2 linked regions of the Caenorhabditis elegans genome follow. The protein of the gene in region 2 interacts with the protein of the main gene of each other region in a pairwise test. Each region holds a gene or a part of one and is shown on either strand. Other genes may lie near its edges. The genes, in order: rpb-11 and F59A6.2.

Region 1 (3,249 bases), 9.0 Mb from region 2:
CCAGGTTTCCCACTACTTCTGGGTTGCCCCGTTTCTCGTGTATCGCGTAGTAGTCGTATACGACGTCGTCACTGCTGCCGGCGGCGGCGCCGCCGCCGTCGGTGACGGGCTGTAGTAGGCGGCCGTTGAGCTGGAAATACAATTTTTGCGCGCTCCACGGGCTCCGTGAGCTCAGCGCTCACCGAAACTTGCTCCGCCGGCTTTTTAACGTTCTTCTCGACCTCTCCAACGAGCCCGACGGCTTCATCCTTCACAAATCCTAGTGGATTTTCCTCGTCAGCCAACTCCATCCCATGTTCCTGAGTTGGAAGATCCAGCACACGGGCTCCATTGAGCTCCAGATCGTTGCCGGCGGCCTTGTAAAGCGTGAAAACCAGCGGATTGCCGCCGTGTTTTGCACGTTTGGTGTGCAGAATCAGAGCATCGTGGGGATCTGCGGTTCGCTTCCGGCTCACACGGATTAGTGGCGCGGTCATCTGAGGGAAATTGAGGGAAATGGGGGCGCTTTTGGGGGAATTTTAGTGTTTCAAAAAATAAAAAATGGGCAAAAACCCAGAAAATTCGAGAAAAAAAACGCAGAAAAAAGCGAAAAAAGCGTAATTTAAAATTTATAAAAGTTCAGAGTAAGAGATCAGTAAGGAAAAAGTGAAAAATCAGTTATATCCACGCTCCTGGTCGCCGGATTGAGTGCACTTTTTGATGGCCGCGTCGATTCGATGCTCGAGCAACGAGAGTTCTCCCACCAAATCGGTTATGGCCGTTGTGAGAGCATCAGCTGGCGTCGTATTGTTGGTTGTCTGGATTCGGAGCAAGATCTTGTGCTCCAACGGGTGAGGGTTCTTGTAGCCGGCGAACAGCACCTCTGGGTCCTTGAGAAGTTGGCTGGAAATTTGAGGAATTAAATCGAAAATCTTCGAAATTATGCGGGTTTTCTAACATTTTCAGCATATTTCCCAGCGTGTGATCCTCCTTCATGATTGTGAAGATCGCCGCATTTGGAACCTAGGAAAATTAATTTTATCATTTCGTTTTGAGTATCATTTTTCTCACCTTTGTGTCTTTTTCAATGTAGAATTTCTTGTCGTCGAGAAGCAAAAATGATTCGAAAGCAGCTGGCGCATTCATTTTTGCTGAAAATTTAGAAAATTGAATATGAAATCCAAAGAAAAATTAAAAAATAGTTTTAAAATTAAAATAATTCAAACTTCGAAAATCAAAGATAGCGCAAGGATGACTGCTAGCGCATTCTCGGTGCCCTTGACGCAATTCTCGTTTTGCGCGGTGATTCAAATGTGAATTCCCGATGATTGCACCAAACTCCGCACAAAATGGACTATTTGCTATTTCCGCGAAATCAAAAAAGCAATGTCATTAAATCTGAGAAGCAAGAAGCAATAGTCGGAGCGTTCTCTGTCTCCTTCACAAATTTTTCCCCCGATTTTCAATGTTTGTATACGTTTTCGTGCAATATATACTTTATCTATTTGTTTGTGAAGTTTTGGCTTCTGGAGGGATAGTGAGTTAGGGTTAGTGTAGGGATATAGTCGAGCTACTGTAGTGGTACAATAGTGGTACGGTAGGAATACTGTAGGGTTACGGTAGTTTCATAAAAAATTAATTTTCAGCCCCAGAAGTCGGGGGCCGCGCCGGAGGTGCGGTCCACGGCTGGTTAATTATATATTAATTGTATTTCAAGCTCAGAATTTCTAAAGTACAATAGAGCGCGCTTGCAAATTTGGCCAAAAAATTTAACATTCACAGAGAAAATATGGCCATTATAAGACTAGTTTAAAAAAAGAAAAAAGAGTTTTTTAGAAGTTTGCAGTTTTTTTCAACATGAGGTAGCAATCGCGCTCGGCCGCACAACTGCAGTTGCAGCTGTCCCCTCATAAAAAAGCGTCTTCAAATGTTTCTTTAAAGTATCATTTGAATGGGGGACAAAAAACGAGGAGAACCCCGACAAAAATCAACAAACCAAATGAAAAATATTTAGTCTGACCAGGTGGTGGCTCGCCGAGCCCTAAAAATAGTGCGCACTTGTCAATAAAATTGTAGGTTTAGACAGTTTCATTTATAGAGAGCTTACCCGGAAGTTGAAAGTCGGTATTTTGGGCGAAAAAAGTTCAAAGGCTACATTCAAAAATTTGAATTCCCGCGCGATCAGAGGTAGGCAGTAGGCGTCGCTGATTGGTTCCCCGAGTTTTGGTGTGTTTTTGCTAGAATCGTTGCGTTTTTTACCATAAAAATTTGAGGAGTTGAACTAGTTTGGTAGGCAGGCGCGTGGGCAGGCAGGCGCGTAGGCAGGCGCGTAGGCAGGCAGTCATTTTCTGAGCCTACCTGCTAGTCTAAACGGTAGGCAATTCAGACGCAAAACACAAACAAACCATTTGAACAAAAGCAAAAAAACCGCGACTCCCCCCTTAGTACTCTAAAAATAGTACCGGCCAAGTACACATAGTAACTAAATATAGAATCAGCTACTACTCTCGATTAAGTTGACACACACACACACACACGCACACGATTGATATAACCCATTCCTCAGCCTTAAAATACTTTGACTAACCAGTTTGGTGACCATTTCTCGTACTGGTTTCCTTCAAAATTTATAGTTTTTTTGGTGAAAAAATTACTATAGGAGTACTGTAGGATTACTGTAGTATTGGAAAAAATGAGTTTTTGTTTTTTTAAGGGACATTGGTTTGGGGTTGGTAGAGGGATACGGTCAAGGTACTGTAGTAGTACTGTAGAGGTACTATTGGAGTACTGTAATGGTACCGTAGAAGTACTGTAGGATTACTGTATTTTTGTAGATCCTGTTTTTCATTTTTGAAGGGAAATTGGGTTCGGGTAAGTGGAAGTTAGTGCTAGGGTACAGTAGTGGTACAGTTCGGTACCGTAGGGCATTGTAGGATTACTATGGGAGTACGTAGTGGTACTGTAGGAGTACTGTAGGATTACTGTAGTTTTGGAAAAAACGAGTCTTTGTTTTTTGAAGGGATATCGGTTTAGGGTTGGTAGGGGGATACGGTCAGAGTACTGTAGCAGTATTGTAGAGAAACTATAGGGGTACTGTAATGGTACCGTAGGGGTACTGTATTGTAGAGGTACTACAGGAGTACTGTAGGATTACTGTAGTTATAGAAAAATTGACTTTTCGTCTTTTGAAAGGGTATTGGTTTGTGGTTTGTAGAGGGATACGGTCCGGGTATTGTAGTAGTACTGTAGAGGTACTAAAGTCGTATTGTA
Region 2 (3,283 bases):
GCATTTTTAGTCATTTTTAGTTATGAAACTCGTTTATTTAATGGTCAAAGTCTATTTTTAACAAGTTTCATGAAAAATGAATGAAGCCTATTTATTTTTAGATCATGGATCACAATGTAGTCTACCTCAAACATCGTTAGCTGGTTTTTTTCAATTTTGCCAGGATGTAGTTTGATGTTTTGTGGATAGACGATTAGAAAAATTTTTTCGAAAAATCTACAATGCTCTCCGATACGATAAAAAAGTTTAAACTTAAAAAGACCTGCTGCTAAATTTTTTCAGCAAACGACAAGTTTCAACCAGTTTTTGAAAGTTCAGTTCTCGAGTTTTTCAGTAAAAAATAAATTTTATTTTCAAACTAGTGATATATTTTTTTATAGTGAGCGGAAATTTCGTAGAAGTCACTGTCACAAAATAAATAACTTTTAAGAATTCGGGAATAAACTTTGTTCTGATAGCGTCGCCTCTCCAGCGCCCAGGGATCTCAAAAACTACAAGCAATATGGCCGCTTATCTAGACGTTGAAAAATTTCAACTGTTCGCCGGTCAACATAGGTCTATAAAATTTCTAGGCATTAGAACAAATTCGCCATCAACTTCCAACAATTACAAAAACAAGGGCTTTTACAAAACGTTTATTCCGAAATTTCAATTTGCAAGAGTTTCGCTAATTCTCATCGTTCTTTTCATCATCAGCTCCATCCTTCTCATCCTTTGACTCTTCTTTTTTCTCTTCCTTTTGCTTCTGTTTCAATTCCTTTCGTTTTTGAGCCGCCAACTTTCTCTCCTCTCTCTTTTGGTCCGACTGCTTCTGGATCCTCTCCTTTGCATCGCTCGCCTGAAATTAATTAAATTATTGATTAGATTTCAGCATTTAAGAGTTCAAGGGATTTGGGCGCTCTTAATTCAGGTGCGTTCATAAGATAACCCATGAGGAGTCAAGGCGTTTCAGGTGTTAGAGCAGCAAACTACAAAAGTATCTATTAAATTTCAAAATAAACATACCATTTTCTCCAGTGCAGTGATCTCCTCTTGAGCAGCTCCCCATATTTCAGCTCTTCTCTGTAGCTCTCCTCGAATAGCGAGGAGTCCCTTCTTCGTGTGCATCAGTCTCAGCTTCAGCTCGCCCAACATCTTTGCATTATCGACTGGTGGTTTTGTTGCCACCACTGGAGTTCCTCCTTCTGCCATACTTGATCGTTTTCGATAATCGAAAAATTCAGAATAAATTATTCTACGAAATTTTTAAACTGACATTTTTTTGGTTGAAGAAGGGGAGAGGGGGAAATTCCGTCCGTGAAAAGGGTTACGAAAAAATAAAAAATTTAAAATTGTAAATGAAAAATAAAAGTAAAATTTGTACGAAAACCGTTTTAAGATTAAAACCCTTAAAAAAAATGCTTGCCTGCCTGCGTGCCTACCTATTTTTTTGCATTTTAGCTCGACGAGTCCCGGTGTTTGGTAATGGTTTGGTAATGGCACACTGTAGATTCAAGGTTTTCAAAAAGTTCAATTAATTTACTGAAAGTTCAGCTTGCTTATGATTTGGCAGTAGGCACGAAGGAGGCGTAAGCAGCCTTCAAGACAATCAGGCATTTTTTGCGTCTTTGAGAAAAAAGAATCAAATAGTGTTCTGCATTGAATTAAATAGCTGGAAAAAAATCAAGAAGGTCCAAAGATTATTCAATTAGATATACAAAAAATTGCGAAATAAATTGTACAACTTTCAAAGGGTATGAAAATAATTGAATCAAATATTTGTGGTTTGATTTTTGAATAAATTTGAGAATACACAACGAACTGCAATATTTGTGAGACAGAAAAACGTGTGATGAAAATGGAGTTTGTGCCGCCTCGTCTGGAACAAAACTTAATTTTGTCTGAGAATACACGCTCCAATATCTCTTGGGACCGCTTTCACGATGAATTGAGAAATGAGGAAAAAGGCGTGGGCATCAACATTTTTTACTGAAAAAAAGGAAATTGGTTAGCCAACTTAGCAGGTGGAAGATGTTGGGGAAATATATAAGACCCTGAAAATAAAATCACCTGAAATCTTCAAAAGTTAAATTGAATCAAAAATTGAGTTTTTATTTTTGGTTATTTTTTTGCTGAGAATTTCGTTGAATATCATGGTAAGGATTTGGATTTTGAAAATTCAAAATGTGTTATCAACCCAAAGATCAGTTCCTGAAAAAAGGAGATGTTTGAAAAACAAACGTTTACAAACAGGAAAAAGGTCATATTAATATCCGATTAAATTTTTGCCTTGAACTTTAAAACTACTTTGGAACTTATAACTAAACTTCCGTCAAATTGAAGATATGAAATGAGATGCTTTCTTGTCGGAATATTCAAAAAATTTGAAAAATATCTAGTGAAACATTTTTTAGAGATTTTTGATAGGGCCGAACAGAGTAAGATGGGTTTTTCATGTTTTTTCATGCATAGTTATGCTGAAGCCAAAGACCTGTGCGGCAATAGATTAAAAATATATTTTCAAAATCATTCCTAAAATTTAACTCTTTCACGGATTTTAAAAATCATTAAATTAATTTATTAACTTTCTGAACTTTATGTGACGTGGCTATTGTAAAGATCTGGGACAAAGATAAGAGAGAAATTTGCTATAAATTGAGCAGAGTTTACCATAATCTTCACTGTAAGTTTCCACACTCTACAAAGAAGTCGCCAGTGCCCAATCCGTCCCACCAGGAGATATCCAGACCCAGCCGGGTACGAAGATCGTCTTCAATGCACCATACGATGACAAGCACACCTACCACATCAAGGTGATCAACTCCTCGGCTCGCCGTATTGGATACGGTATCAAGACCACCAATATGAAGAGACTTGGAGTTGATCCACCATGTGGAGTTTTGGACCCAAAGGAAGCAGTCCTTCTTGCTGTTTCCTGTGATGCCTTCGCCTTTGGACAGTAGGACACTAACAACGACCGTATTACTGTTGAGTGGACCAACACCCCGGATGGAGCTGCAAAGCAATTCCGCCGTGAATGGTTCCAAGGAGACGGTATGGTTCGTCGCAAGAACCTTCCAATTGAGTACAACCCATAGAGCCCTCTTCGACCTTGCTCAATAAATGAATTTTGAAAGCTCGTTGTTTTTTCTCTTGTTAAAAATGTTTAGGTTTAAAAGTGCACCAAATTTGGTGGAGGTAGAGGTCCACTCCCAACCGAGTTCAACCCAAAGAAGGCTTGATAAGAAAACCCTCGAGTACAATCCATAGAGCCCTGCTTGATCTTATTTAATGAATGAATTTT

Evidence for each region.
Region 1: the proteins of F59A6.2 (region 2) and rpb-11 interact in a two-hybrid assay, tested with the Caenorhabditis elegans proteins (one large-scale study listed by BioGRID).

Annotation. Positions count from the first base shown.
Region 1 is NC_003280.10:14,057,966-14,061,214, reverse strand, and holds rpb-11 (putative DNA-directed RNA polymerase II subunit RPB11), read right to left. Parts: upstream 1,131-3,249; 5' UTR 1,126-1,130; coding exon 1,051-1,125; intron 1,003-1,050; coding exon 938-1,002; intron 883-937; coding exon 654-882; 3' UTR 591-653; downstream 1-590. Other genes in the region: W01G7.4 (putative RNA polymerase II nuclear localization protein SLC7A6OS), read right to left, coding at 1-130, 183-476. UniProt on the Caenorhabditis elegans protein: DNA-dependent RNA polymerase catalyzes the transcription of DNA into RNA using the four ribonucleoside triphosphates as substrates. Component of RNA polymerase II which synthesizes mRNA precursors and many functional non-coding RNAs.
Region 2 is NC_003280.10:5,012,668-5,015,950, reverse strand, and holds F59A6.2 (50S ribosomal protein L29), read right to left. Parts: upstream 1,253-3,283; 5' UTR 1,192-1,252; coding exon 1,006-1,191; intron 839-1,005; coding exon 668-838; 3' UTR 623-667; downstream 1-622.